Linked DNA regions of Elephas maximus indicus. The protein of the gene in region 2 purifies or fractionates together with the protein of the main gene of each other region. This does not show direct contact. Links are inferred from orthologs where the notes say so. Each region holds a gene or a part of one and is shown on either strand. Other genes may lie near its edges.

Region 1 (7,791 bases), on a different chromosome or scaffold from region 2:
GCCCACTCAAATACATACAGGGCTATGGGATCTCCTGCCAGTCCAATACATCTGGTTATGCCCCATCTATCTGGACGTGTCAGGCCCCTTCCCACCTGCCTGGATACAACCCAATCCACCCATGCATAAACTGAACCAGCCGCTCCTGGACACAATGTCCCCACCCCACCTGACCCTGCCCAACTCCACCCATGCTCACCCGGGCCCGAAGCTGGCACTGGCGTAGCCGGCACTTCTGCCGGATCTTGTTGGGGCCTCCAAACTTCTTCATGTCCCGGCAGAAGTCACAGTGGCCACAGTCTTCAGTACGCCGGCACGCCTCACACTCACCGCACATGCGGGCTGACCGTTTGATCTGTTGCTGCTGCTGGTGATGCTGGGGAAGATGACAGGAATGAATCAGGAACCCATACAGGGTGCAGGATGGAACCATCCTATCCATCCCAACCACCAAAGTCACTCACCTGGCTGGGTGTGGGCACCAAGGGCTGTGGAGAGGCTTTGTGGGGTGAAGCAGAGCCCCGAGCAAGAATGGCCCCGACCCCTGTCCCAGACCCCACCCGGCGCTGCAGGTCTGGATCCGGGGCAGGCCTCTTGCGCCCTCCACCCTCATCCCGGGGCTCACTGCTGTCCCGCTCACTGCCGTCCCGCTCCCGTGACTTCTTGTGCCGGTAGCGGATCTCCAGTTTGGGGTCCTTCTCTGTCGGGGGGAGGATGGGGCCACTGGCAGTTCAGTATTGGGGGTGGTTTGGATGGTCCCGGAACTCTTTATTTTCCTTTCCTTCCCATACCACCCACCCGCTCCATCCCCCTGCTCCAGGGCAAAGCTGCTCCCTCTTGCAGGACCCTCTATTGTGGCTCACGATGGAGCCCCAGTTCCAGCTCACCACGGACCAACAATTGCTCTGCCCCCAGACACATCATCATTATTTCCCACACCCCCCTCCCATTGTGGTTCCCTCCTCCTCTTCCTCGCCCTTTGAAGCTCCACCTGCCTGCCCTGTCTATCCCACCTCCCCCTCACCTCGGCACTCCCGACAGTACCACTCCCGGATGGCTTTGGCCATCTTCTCAGTGATCCGGATGCAGTCCCCATGAAACCACTCATTGCAGTTGTCACACCCGCTGCAGAGGATGGGGCGGGTGGTGGAGAAGTGAGGGCCCAGGCCCCATCAGCATCACCCAACCCTGCCAGGTATCAACCCCACCCGCGTCTCCCCGGCTCACATCATGAAGCAGTTGATGTCTGGCTTGCGGCAGATGCAGTAGATGGGCGCATTCTCCCCATTCTCCGACTTGCTATCCTCCCCAGCATCTGGTGGCTCTGGGTCTGAACCGTCCCCCTCCTGTGGGATCCCCCATTATGACTCCTCAGAGAACCCCCAAAATGGCACCACTCCCCCTCATTACAACTCTTATCATGCCTCGCCACAGATACCCATGGCTTTGCTGAGAACTACCATCATGCCTCCCCATAAGTTTCTCCACTATGGTCCTTATAGACCAGGCAGGATTTTGTTCTGTTGTACATAAGGTCACTATTAGAACCGACTTGACAGCACCTGACAACAGCAGCATGGTCCTTACAGACCCCCCCGTAACACCTCATTACTGCCTATAGACCCTTTTTATTCTACCCCAGACCTCCCATCACTCATGCCACTGACACCCCATGACTTTAAACACAAACCCTCATAAAGGCTCATCACAAACATCCTAGTACTCGCCATATACTGCCTCCTCCGTGGCTCCCCACAGACTTCCACCACGGGTTCTCACAGACACCCCGTGATTTACCACACAAACTCCTCATCATTGTTCTCCACAGATTTCCCACTATTTACTCCACACACCCTCCTCACGCCGCACTACAGACCGTCCGACACGGCTCATCACAAACTCTTTATCACTCTGTCCAAAGAACCCCTCATCACGGTTCTCCACAGAACCGCCATCAGTGATCCCCACTAACCTCCCATTATGGACCCCCTTCTGGCCCCTCACAGTACTTTCATCATGGCTCACCACAGACCTCCGTCGTTCTTCCCAAAGGACCCTCTGAGGCTCACCACAGACCCCCCCATCATTCCGCCCACAGGCTCCTGTTATAGCTCACCACAAACTCCCATGCGTCTGTCGTCGGACTTCACCATTACGAACCTCACCGACCTCTACCGCAGAACTCCCTGGACTGGTACTCACCATATCTCCAATTCCCAAGCACCCGCTCGCAACCTCGGCCAGCGACAAGGTAACCTGCACAGACCACTCCGCGGCGTCCGCGGCCGTTGCAAAGGCGACTAGAACCACTTCCGCTTCTGGTCGCGCCAACCGGGCACCGTACCCTATTGCGCAGGCTCCGTACGGCGGCTCCGCGGCAAACAAGCTATACGCCCGCCTAGAGCCCTGAATGGCTCTTAGGAGCCGCCATCTTGACTATCGAGTCCGTAAGGCGACCGAGTCCGTAAGTTCCCGTGAAACATGGCAGCGCCTGTATGGCAGCTTTCCTCTGGGGGCTGCCACCTTGTCGGTCGAATCCGTACGCTGACCGCCTGTACTGTATCGACGTTAACAAGCAATATGGCCTCACCTACTGCGCGAATTCCATGAAGCCGCTGTCATCTTGGAGTCTGATTCCGTAACCTGGCCGAGTTCATAAAGTCACAGGCACCATGGCAGCGCCCTAGTTGTGGCTACCGCAAAGGCGCCGCCATGTTGACAGTTGACTCCGTACAACGACTGTTTGTAGTGCAGTGGCCAAGCGGCCTCTGAGGAAACGGATCAGATGAAACCTTTCATTCATTCCTCCACTCAATCACTTTTCCTTTCCACATGCGTTAATGGGGAGCCAACAGGTTATATGGATCGCGTTAGGAAGGCAGTCAGTCCTCCCCGTTACATCTCTGACTTCACCTCACAGAAATTTTCTTCTTCACGCTTCCTCACTATTCCTCAAATTAGCCAGGCGCGGGTCAGCCTCTGGGCCTTTGCTGTTTTTACAGGAACAGCCTCGCCCTGGTGGCGCAGTGGTTAAAGCGCTCGACTGCTAACCTAAATGTCAGCAGTTCGGCTGTCAAAGCTTAAAATTGAGCATGATCTGTAAATAGAGACGTAACCCCCTTGTGGGCGGGGCGGGGGAGGTGTCTGACCTCTACATTCACAAGGGAGGAGAACCAATAGGAACAAGCTAAGACTGATTCCTACGAGGTGGAAGTCTGACATGCCTCCACCCTCCAACCTTTTTACCAATTCTGACACCAACTGTCCCCTCCCAGGACACTCTTTACTTCTCTTTGGGTTTGATAACTTGTTGCAATGACCACACAGAACTCGCAGACAATACTCACGCTTATGGTGTTTATTAGGGAAGTAACCGATTACAATTCAGGCTCTTGAATGCTCAGGACACAGTTCTTCCATAAGGACAGCCTCATTTCAGACTCTCTGGCCCCTCAGACTCTTGGCCTCTCCAACCTCTTGGCCTCTTGCTGGTCCTTTGGCTTTTGCTCTGCTCAGGCGAGTGTTACAAACTCTTTTAGCTCTGTTGATAAATGCCCGGGGGGCACCCCACTCTGCCAATAAGCCTTGTGCCTCACCGTGTTCAGCTCTAGCTCCTTTGGCTGGGAAGCCCCACTGCAGCCTTCTTGCGCTGGTCTCCTAATTTCTGCCATCTTGCAAGTCTCTCACTGTCTTCCATGTTACAGCTCCTTTCTGTCTCCTGGATGTAGGAAGTTCTCAGCTCAGGGATCCTGGATCCAAAAAATAGCCTCTGCTCCTGGCTCTTCTTTCTTGGTGGTGTTGAGATCTTCTCTTCTTGCCTCTGGGATGGCTCATTTTAAGCCTAGAGGGATGGCAAAATTGACCAATTCTCTCATTAGGGTGCCATATACCTTATTTGCATGATCCCACCTACACAAGGGTGCCATGCACATTATTTACATTATTAGCAAGCTATCCAATTCCTTTGGTGGGACACAAGCACCTCATTTACATAGTCCCACCCTGTCATTTGGTGAGAGCTCCAAAAACTACGGCTAGAAGGGCCATACTAAATAATTCACTGTGCCACAAGAGAACAATAGTTTTATTGAGGACTAGAACGGTTCAAAACAGGCAGCACAAAGCAAGTGCAAAGTGCTGCAGAGGGGTTATGTAGAGAGGGATTTTTACATACAGTTTAGAGCAATGAACAAATCTTGACATCAGCTTATCTATTTTAACATTCTTTCTGAGAAAGATCTGCACAAGCAATCTTTCAAAGTACAGTCACAAGACCCCCTCTTTAGGTAACATTTTGCCATATGTTTAACCACATTCTTGCTCCCTCCTTGACTGCTCAAGTAGGGTAGTTAAAACTTTACAAAAGTGGAAAATTCCATCCACAATCTAAAAGCAGAAGTGAAGGTTAGAAGCAAAATAGAGTCTGATTCAAACCTGTGTCAGCCACCTTAGTTATGCCAAGCACCTTAGATTTTTAGGGTGCACTCACACAGAGCTCACCAGGTGCTCCACAGGAGAAAGATATGGCAGTCTGCTTCCATAACGATTTACAGCCTTGGAGAAAAAAAGAAAAGGCCACATAAATCAGAGACTACATCAGCCTGAGACCAGAAGAACTAGATGGTGCCCAGCTATAACTGATGACTGCCCTGATAGGGAGCACAACAGAGAATCCCTGATGGAGCAGGAGAACTGTGGGATGCAGACCTCAAATTCTCGTAAAAAGACCAGACTTAATGGTCTGACTGAGACTGGAAGGACCCCAGAGGCCATGGTCCCCAGACCTTCTGTTAGCCCAAGACTGGAACCATTCCCAAAGCCAACTCTTCAGACAGGAATTGGACTGGACTATAAGATAGAAAATGATACTAGTGAGGAGTGAGCTTCTTGGCTCAAGTAGACACATGAGACTATGTGGGCAGCTCCTGTCTGGAGGGGAGATGGGAAGGCAGAGGGGGACAAAAGCTGGCTGAATGGACACAGGGAATACAGGGTGGAGAGAAGGCGTGTGCTGACTCATTAGGGGGAGAGCAACTAGGAATACATAGCAAGGTGTATATAAATTTTTGTATGAGAGACTGACTTGATTTGTAAACTTACCTTAAAGCACAATAAAAATCATAAATAAATAAAAGATTTACAGCCTTGGAAACCCCATGGGGCAATTCTACTCTGTCCTAGAGGGTCACTACCAGTTAGAATTTACTCAATGACAACAGGCTAGGTTTTGGTTGTTCTTACCCTCAGAATCATTCATGAGCAATGATGGAAGACCTTAAATGATGATGAGTGTGGGTCCTAGTGAGAAGTGGCCAGATCAGAAGTAGATTTTGAAGTCACAGTCAGCCAATGTCACCAAGTCCTCCCCTCCACCCCTACTGCCATAGGCTGCAGATGTCCACTTTGATTTTCTAGTTTAGTTGGGGTCTCCCAATATTCTCTTGGAGCCTTGGGGGCACAGTGGTTAAGAGCGTGACTGCTAACCAAAAGGTTAGCAGTTTGAATTCATCAGCCACTCCTCGGAAACCCTATGGGGTAGTTCTACTCTATCCTATGAGTTGAAATTGACTCGATGTCTACAGGTTTTTAATATTCTCTCCTGTAAAGGTTTTTTTTTTTTTTTACTTAAATTGGGTACAATATTCATTAAAAAAAAGAAATAGAGCTACCATATGACTCAGCAATCCAACTGCTGAGAATATACACAAGGGACTTGAAAGCAGCCACTGGAAGAGATGTAAACCAGTGTTCACTGCAGCACTATTCACAATAGCCAAAAGGTGGAGACAACCTAAATGTCCATCAATGAATGAATGGATAAACAAAATGTAATACATGCATACTATGGGTTATTACTTGTCTTTGTCATCTAGTGCTGCTGTAACAGAAAGACCACAAGTGGATGGCTTTAACAAAGAGAAATTCATTCTCTCACAGTTTACCCATTGCCATCAAATTGATACTGACTCATAGAAAACCTGTAGGACAGAGTAGAACTGCCCAATAGAGTTTCCAAGGAGTGGCTGGTGAATCCAAACTCCCAACCTTTTGGTTAGCAACCTGAGCTCTTAACCACAGTTTAGGAGGCTAGAAATTCAGTTTCAGCACTAGGGGAAGGCTCTCTCTGTTGGTTCTGGGGAAGGTCCTGGTCATCAATCTTCCCCTGGTCTAGGAGCTTCTCAGTGGACTGGTCCTGGGTCCAAAGGACACACTCTGCTTCTGGCACTACTTTCTTGGTGGTATGAGATCCCCCTACGTCTCTGCTTCCTTCTCTCTTCTATATCTCAAAGGAGATTGACTCAAAACACAAGCTAATCTAGTAGCTTGAGTTCTGCCTCGCTAATATAACTGCCTCTAAACCTGACACATTAACATCATAGAGGTAGGACTTACAACACATAGGAAAATCATCAATGACAAAATCGTAGACAATCACACAATACTGAAAATTATGACCTAACCAAGTTGACACACATTTTGAGGGGGACACAATTCAATTCATAACACTACTCAACCAGAAAGAAAAAGGATGTCCTGATATATGCTTGTGGTATGATGGATCTCTTTTTTGTAGCCTTTCCCGCCATGGTCTTGTAACTCCTACAAAACGATTGGGTTGGACTATTAAAATAAGGTGCTTGTGATTCACCAAGGGGATTGGACAACTTGCTAATAATGCAAATAAGATGAATGGCAACCTTGTTGGGGTGGGAACATGCAAATAAGGTGTATGGAACACTAACAAGAGGATTGGTTGATTTTGCCATCCCACTGGGCTTAAAATGAGCCATCTCAGAGGCAGAAAAGGGCACCTCACTACCACCAAGAAGAGATGGAAGCAGAGCACGTCCTTTTGAACCCAGGTTCCCCACACTTACAGCCTCCTAGACCCAGGAGACAGAAAGAGAGAGCTATAACACTGAAGATGGCTCAAGGCTGTGAGAAGCAGCAGCAGAAAAACGGCAGCAGCAGAACCAGGAGACCTGCGTGAGATGGCACAATGGGCTTCTTGGCCCAGGGAGCAAGGCAGTTACAGTCAGTGCGCCAACCTACACAGTGAGAGAGATAAGTGTCTTCAGCCAGGAGGCTTACTGGCAAAGTAGGGTTCCTCTGGGTACTTGTCGTCGGAGCTAGGCTTACTGACCCACAGAGCTAGAGAGCTGAGTACCTTTGGGCTGAGATTTACTGGCAGGGTGGGGTGCCTCTGGGCACTTACTGGTAGAACTAAAAAGCTTTGTAACACTTGCCTGAGCAGGGTAGAGGTGAGGTTGAGAGTCTGAGGGGCTGAGGGCCAGAGAGTGGCCTGTCTGTGGGCACAGTTGGGAAGAAGCTGTCCTGATGGAAGAACTGTATCCTGAGTCATTCCTGATCCTGAACTGTAACCTGTTACCCCCCTAATAAATCCCATAATTGTAAGTATTGTCTGTGAGTTCTGTGTGGCCTTTACAATGAATTATCAAACCCAGCAGAGAGGTAGAGAGTGCTGTGGGAAGGAAGGCTGGTGTCAGAATTGGTAAAACGATTGGAAACAGAGGTTTGTCTGACCTGCGTCTCATGGGAATTAGCCTTGGACTGCTGATGCTGATAATGAGTCTCCTTCCCCTCGTGAGGTTAGAGGAGGTCAGATGCCCCCACCACCCCATTCTGACAATGCTACAACATAGGTGGAGCTTCAGGCCATTATGTGGAGTGAAATAAGTCAGTCACAAAAGAACAAATACTGTATGAACTCATTTATATAAAAAGACAAATGTATAGAGACTACAGTTTATTAGTGGTTACCAGGAGCAG
Region 2 (7,773 bases):
TAGCATCTTAGATTTCACCCATTAATACTTTCCTTCCCAAACTAGATAGGAATTATTTACTTTCCAATATTACAGTTTTTATGATTAAAAGTACTTTTAAATTATAAATCATAGGTAACATCTAAAGATGCAATGAACGTTATTCCTTAGCCCTTAGTTAACATCCAGAAACAAAACATAAAACGTGTGATTTGCAAGGTCACAAAGACTTACTAATGTCAAATAACCTACTGGGAAACATAATGGCTTTAGGTTGGATTTGCAGGGTGGGGGAGGTGTACTAGTAACAATGTATCTCTTTACCTGGGTGTGTTTTTACTCTTTATATTAATGTTTCTATATTTCGCAATTTAATTTTTTTAAAGGGTGACTCTAGAAACTGAACATAAGGAAAAAAACTAGAAGTCAAAGTGCTATTTTTAAAACAGCTGATAAACAAGATAAATACATCTGTCAAGAGCCAAAATATTTAAAGGGGTCATCCAACAATTTAAATAAAGACCCAAGATTATATTGCTCTTCTACCATCCCAAAACTCACAAGGATACTAAATTAGCTAAGCCCCACCCACGCTGTTTTAACACTAGCATTTTCCAAAGAGCTCTGGCACTGAAGAATTAAGACACTGAAAACAACCCTATATAAACCAAGCAGTTACCTACAACTGTAATGGTTTAAAAAAAAAAAAAAGGAAAATGCTAATATAAAACATCTGATAAAGTTCAACAAGAAATGAATACCAAATAAAAAAAACTTTGCTATGTGTGACTTAATTCAGATACAGAAAGATAGAGGATATGGCTAAAAAAATGGCTAAAGCCCCCCAAAAACCAAACCAAACCAGTTGCCGTGGAGTCAATTCCAATTCCGACTCATAGTGGCCCTACAGGACAGAGCAGTACTGTCCCATAGGGTTTCCAAGGAGCAGCTGGTGGATTCGAACTGCCAAACTTTTGGTTAGCAGCCAAGCACTTAACCGCTGCGCCACCGGGCCTTCGGGGGGAGTGGGGGGACCTAGCAAACTGCCCAAGTCTCAATCTCAAATGCTTATTTGAACAGTAATGCGTTACTGGGAATCTGACCATGGCACTTTAACAAACAACATGCCTAGATCTATCTAGATGGTTGAAATGGGAAACCACGGACAAATTATTTAAACTCTACCAAGGTCACAGTGACAAACTCAAATTTGAGCCTAGCACCCCAATCGTTCAAGCTGGTGTGTGTTCTGGAAAGCAAGTAAATTTTCTGACTGGAATGCACAGCTGACCACGAACACAAAGAGCAGAGGGACTTGCATCCAAATCTGGGGGAGTTTACCTCTCTAGTAGAAACTACAAGATTACATTTTAAATAATTCTTCAGAGCTTCCTAGCTCCTTATTTTAACACATTACTTTGTCACTTTTCAAAGTTGCTTATCTGCTATTATAACACTTCCTCTAATAAAATAACACACTCAGAAAAGGGCAAGCTAGTACATAACCAGAATCTTAAACCTTTAAAAATCACTATGGGGCAAGGAGGAGGGGACCACTGACTAATTATTAATCCCACCACCTATAATTATGGATAAGAGACTATTGAAGATTCACCTATTACTTACAGCACAATGTCCAAAAATAACAAATAAAAAACCTTTGACACATTTCAACCAATAAACAAACAAAAAAAAAACCTCGTAGGAAACCTTAGAACCACCGCTCAATCCCCCCTCCCTCCCTGCCCCAAACAGCCTCAATATGGAAAAGCAGCTAAAGGAAACCCCTAGAATTTGGTTGGGTTTTTTTTTTGTTGTTCGTGTACCAAATGCTTTCGACTGAATTGTCTAAAAGGGCAACCGCCTTGCACTTGTGCAGCTACACTCCAGTTGCTTTACAAACTCTTCAAGCAGGGATGAAACTTAAAAATACATACACCCTATGAAAAAAAGAGACTCTGGGCTATAGGATGGGGATGGAAGACCCAGAGGCGGCGGCGGAGGAATACATTGAGAAAGTAACACAAAGCGAAAATTCTGAAAGCAGGATGGTCAGTGCGAAAAAAGCGCACCAGGCTGGTTTGTCCCACAGGGGTAGGAACTGGACCACAAAGCTTACAACCTCTGGAAGGAAAGGGCGTGGTACCCCGCGAGAGGGAAAGGAGAGTAGGGTGGGAAGTCCGGGCCAGCGGCAGCATGCGGAATTGGGCGACGGCAAAGCGAACCCCTGGAAATTTCCAATCCAAACCCGGGCCACTCAACCGAAAGAACACTAGAAAGGCGCTGCCCAGCGGGGTGCTTGCCCAATGTCCCCACTTCTCAGGTTCCTTGCAGCAACCGGCGAGCTTCTGCTCGTCTTTGGGTGATGCAAAGCGGGGATATGATTACACCGGAATGGCACCCCCGCCCTAGATTGACAAAGAACCAAACCTGGCTAAGGCGGAAGGGTTGGAGGGGGCTGTGGAGAGAGAAGAGGAGAGGGCGGTGAACTGGTTTCGGACAGAGAACGGTAGTGAACGAAGAGTGAAAGGGCAGGGATTCCAATGCAGTCCATTCTTAGCGCGCACGTGTGCTAGAAGCGTTCCGAGTAGAACGCGAGAACACACACATTGAGAAGCCAGAAAGGACGCAAAAAGCAGAAAGAATGAAAGAGATAAATGCTTGAGAAAGGCAAGACAGAGGAAACACCGACCAGATGCCGGTAGAACACGAACAGCTCAGCAATGCCACTGATGTAATGGGGGCGGCTAGAGGGAAGGGAGGGGGCGGTGAGAGGCAGAGAACGGCGCGAGACCCCGAAGCGGCGTCTGCTAAGATAGAACTGGACACCGATACCTGTGCTGTCGGCCACGTTGCCCACGGAAGACGCCATCTGGAGCTTCTTGGGGGAGAGCGAGGAGGGGGTAATTGAGTCCCGCCGCCGCCGCTAGTGGCAACAATGTTTCTGGAGGTAGTGGTAAGAGAGCAGGAGCTGTACTGGTGTCCTGTGAGTCTTAAGCGGCGGCAGGCGTCATAGGCTTCGAACCTTAGGAACTCTGGTTGACCATCTACCTCTCACGATCTTGAAATGGCGGCGACGGCTCCTCGGCCGAAACAACACGGGCCGGAACTACTTTCTGTTACAATCAAGTACCAGAGCGGAGGTAGCGCGGTAACCGGCGCTACAGACGACAAAATGACTATAATCAAAGTCGCTTGCTCTTATGTAGCCTTCCGCGTAGGGCCCATTGCGACAAACACGATTGTGTCGAGAGCGCATGCGAGCAGCCCTGTCAACCTGACTCGCGTCTAGGGCACACTGTCTAGGGCATGAGCGCCCAAGTTTTGTTTTGTTTTTTTATTATAGTGAAGCATAAGGTTAAAAAAACCCATACATTTGCCGCATAAATTTTTTCCGAAGTGGTAAAGTATCGCCAATGATGTAGATTTTAAACATAAATGCCAAAGGAGTCTAAAAAATTTAATCAAGTTTATTCACACAAAAAATGGATAGTTACAAGGCTGATGATTACAAATCATGGATCAGTTCTAAGCAAGTAAATGTAAATAATCTTATTTAAAAGCTGAACTGTTCTTCAAAATGATGGCGGAGGGGGTTCCAATTTGAACACGTCTTAATTCAGACCCCAGACATTGATGAAAACGACTGATACTTTTCACAGGGCCAAATGAATGCAAACATCTCAGGTTTTGGTCATATAGCCCAAAATTTGAAAATCGTTTTGGTATTCAGGATAGTTCTGCCCACATTAATGGGGCAGATGTTAATGCTTAATAACTCAGGGACACCCTGAGGGTTTGCACTCCAAAGGCAGGCATTGAAATGTTAAATGACTCATATTCGTCAAAATCCATGACTCTTCTGAGTTGTGGCTTCATTTCCACCAAATAGCTCTGCAAATCATCACAATCTGAGATTCCACTGAGCTCAGAAGCAGTTCAACAGAGATAAATGAATTCATTTCCCATCTGCCTAAACCACACATCTAGTTTGAGTCTGAATTACCTCCACTTCCTTGAACAAATCAGCTCTTATTATCCCACTGCAGTTTCAAGTCCGTGTTCAGATATGTTGTCACATTAGTATTAATTTATACCTCATATCTTGTTTCAGAAAGGATTTAAGACAGCTTGCCACATTAGCAAGAAATTAGTATAAGCCACTAGAGGCCATGATTTGGATCTCTAAGTGTCCTTTTATTTCAAAAAGTCCTTGGTCTAAGAAAGCAGGTCAGTGAATTTCTTCAAAAAGTTTTTACTACTACATTAAAAAACAAAAAAGTCCTCAATGCTCTGCTTTAATTTCTTTCAGACAGTCCACAAACTTTTTAATTATGGATAGGAGCACAGAGAAAAGTCATAACATGATCATTTCTTCCATCACATAATCAGGAGTCACATCATGCAGTGAAAAAGACAAACTGCACAAACCAAACCCACTGCCATCGAGTCGATTCCGACTCACAGCGACCCTATAGGATAGAGTAGAACTGCTCTGTAGGGCTTCCAGGGAGCGCCTGGTGGACTTGAACTGCCGACCTTTTGGTCAGCAGCCTTAGCACTTAACCACTACACCACCAGGGTTTCCTGACTGCACAAACTGTCCTGAAAATCGGGCACCAATCTCTTAATTGGATTTAACTGGTAAAATCTTTTTTTTTTTCTTTCCCCTCTCACTAAAAGTACCCCATCTGTGATGAATAAACTCAGTTTTTCAACTTTTAGAACAGACTTCTCAAATTCTATTGGCAGATGTTTGGGTCTAACTGATTAACAGGTGATAGCTAATTAAGTAGAATGCTTTATGTTGTTAAATGCCAGGTAATGCTCCCTGCATTTGGCCCGTTGAAACTTGTGGTCTAAGGCTCCCCACCCTGAGAGAAGAGTCAAAGGATATTATGATACAATTTTGCTGCTAGGGAAAGCAGGATGGTGGGGCTCACAGGGGCACAACAAGAAAAAAAAACTCTGTTGGAATCTCAGCAATCTCATTCCAGGTACCTTCTAGGAATAGCATTTGGAGGGTTTAGCTTGAAGGACTTAGTCATCAGACAAACACACCTTCTTCAGCCAATCAAATAACAATTACTAGAGTCTCTGTATGCAAGGCAGTGTGGGGGATACAGAAATGAACAAGACAGGATCCTTGCCCTCAAGGAACTTGAAGCCTAGCCACTAGAGAACAATACAGGAGAATATTATTTAAGTGATAAAATATGTTCTTGTGTGTGTGGCTAATTGCCTCCATGAACAACTGCCTCCTTAGCCATGAGGCAAGAAGAACTGGATGGTGCCTGGCTATCATTACTAAACATTTTGATCAAAGATTCTATAGAAAAATCCTGATCAAAAGGGGGGAAACACAGAACAGATTTTCAAATTCTCATAGATGCCACACTTTCTGGAACCATGGAGGTTGGGTGAACCTCTGAAACTATTGCCCCAAGATAACCTTTAAACCTTAAGCCAAAAATATCCCCTGAAGCCTTCTTAAAATCAGACAACAGTTTAACTTAACTAGTAAAGAATGTCTTCCTTGAGTATTGTGCATTTTTAAGTTCTATCTATATGGGATCAAATTGGCAACTTGAAAGATTAGACAGGAAACTTATAAGGGGCAGTGAGTTTATGCTAATGGAGAGGAACAATTCAGAAAAGGAGGGTGAGAATGGTTGCACAACTCGAAGAATATGATCAATGTCCCTGAACTGTACATGTAGAAATTGTCAAATTCATGTATGTTCTGCTGTATATATTCCCAACAACAACAAAAATAAATTATTTTTAAAAAATATGTTCTATCTAAACACACAATATAGGCGAGGTCAGCACAACTGGATTAAACCAAAAGCAAAGAAGTTTCCTGAATACAGCTGAACACTTCAAAGGCCAGAGTAGCAGGGACAGGGTTTTGGGGACCATGGTTTAAGGGGACATCTAGGTCAATTGGTGTAACAGAAAGTATTAAGAAAACCTTCTGCATCCCACTTTGGTGAGTGGCGTCTGGGGTCTTAAACACTAGCAAGTGGCCATCTAGGATGCATCAATTGGTCTCAATCCACCTGGAGCAAAGGAGAATGAAGAACACCAAAGACAAAGGTAAAGATGAGCCCAAGAGATAGAAAGGGCCACATAAACCAGACTACATTCGTCTGAGACCGGAAGAACCAGATGGTGCCCAACTACCACTAATGACTGCCCTGACAAGGAACACAACAGAGAATCCCTGATGGAGCAAGGGAACAGTGGGATGCAGATTTCAAATTCTAGTAAAAAGACCAGGCTTAATGGTCTGACTGAGACTAGAGGGATCCTGGAGGTCATGGTCTCTGGACCCTTTGTTAGCCCAAGACTGGAACCATTCCTGAAGCCAACTCTTCAGACAGGGATTGGACTGGACTATGGGATAAAAAATGATACTGGTGAAGAGTGAGCTCCTTAGCTTATGTAGACACATGAGCCTATGTGGGCAACTCCTGTCTGGAGGCAAGACGAGAAGGCAGAGGGGGACAGGAGCTGACTGAATGGACACAGGGAATACAGGGTGGAGGGGAGGAGTGTGCTGTCACACTAGGGGGAGACCAAGGTGTATATAAGTTTTTGTATGAGAGACTGACTTGATTTGTAAACTTTCACTTAAAAAAATTTTTTTTCACTTAAAGCACCATATATATGTGTATATATATATATAAAATATATATATGTATATATATATATACATATATATATATAAACACCAAAACCAAAACCCACTGCCATCGAGTCAATTCTGATTCATATATATATATATATATATATATATATATATATATATATATATATATATATATATATATGTTTCTGTCTAAAAATACCTGGGGAGAAAACAATCACTTCAGGCTGGAAGGAAGGTGAGGGAGAAGGCCTGAGCTGGGCATTGAAGGAGGTACTTTTGCGTATTTCTTCTCTTTCCACTGATTTCTCGTTCTTTTTCTTTTCTTTTTTCCCTTTCATGTACAACAATTTTTATAAATCAGCTGTTTCTTCAGCTCCAATCCCAAATTTTGCCACCCTGATAACACCATTAATGGTGTATTAATTTTCTATTACCACATAACAAATTACCACAAACTTAGCAGCTTAAAACAGCACACATTTTGTGGCAGCCACGCCAGAGTTGTGAAAGGAAGCAGAGCCCAGTGTGCTGCCACTGCCGCTGCCAGTGGAAAATGGCTCCAAAGGTAAAACGAAGCGGGGAAAATACACCAATGTGGCATTGTAGCCTCTCCAGATGTTTAGGGATAATATTCCAGAGAAAAACCAATTCCTCTGAATTAGGTAACCAGTCATAATGAAGAAAACTCGTTGCTGTCGAGTCAATGCCCTGTAGGACAGAGTAAAACTGCCCCATAGAGTTCCCAAGGAGCACCTGGTGGATTTGAGCTGCTGTCCTTTTGGTTAACAGCTGAACTCTTAACCACTACACCACCAGGGTTTCCATAATGAAGAAAAGTAGTCTTAAAACCTTCTGGAAATAAAAGTAAAGAAGAAACTGATTTCATGATAGTACAACAACCATCATTAGCCAGTGATTTTGTAAAAGATGATTCTTTTTTTGGTAGTTGCTATGAGTCGGAATCAACTCGACGGCAGTGGTGGTGGGTAATGGTTAAAGAAAGAGCCATGGTGGTGCAGTGGTTAAGCACTTGGCTGCTAACCGAAAGGTCGACGTTTCAAACCCCCCAGCTCTCCGCAGTAGAAAGATGTGGCAGTCTGCTTCCGTAAAGATTAAAAAAAAAAAAGATTACAGCCTCG

Evidence for each region. The genes of interacting proteins can lie anywhere in the genome.
Region 1: the proteins of OGT (region 2) and CXXC1 purify together in Homo sapiens (affinity purification with mass spectrometry; 3 studies listed by BioGRID and IntAct, with this or other methods). This does not show direct contact. The link is inferred for Elephas maximus indicus from reciprocal best matches to the Homo sapiens genes OGT and CXXC1.

Annotation. Positions count from the first base shown.
Region 1 is NC_064829.1:58,942,623-58,950,413, forward strand, and holds the start of CXXC1 (CXXC-type zinc finger protein 1), read right to left. Parts: upstream 3,079-7,791; 5' UTR 2,206-3,078; coding exon 2,203-2,205; exon of another isoform or gene 2,117-2,202; intron 1,347-2,116; coding exon 1,228-1,346; intron 1,126-1,227; coding exon 1,025-1,125; intron 701-1,024; coding exon 465-700; intron 377-464; coding exon 200-376; intron 1-199. UniProt on the Homo sapiens protein: Transcriptional activator that exhibits a unique DNA binding specificity for CpG unmethylated motifs with a preference for CpGG.
Region 2 is NC_064846.1:98,167,401-98,175,173, forward strand, and holds the start of OGT (UDP-N-acetylglucosamine--peptide N-acetylglucosaminyltransferase 110 kDa subunit), read right to left. Parts: upstream 3,084-7,773; 5' UTR 2,852-3,083; coding exon 2,815-2,851; intron 1-2,814. UniProt on the Homo sapiens protein: Catalyzes the transfer of a single N-acetylglucosamine from UDP-GlcNAc to a serine or threonine residue in cytoplasmic and nuclear proteins resulting in their modification with a beta-linked N-acetylglucosamine (O-GlcNAc).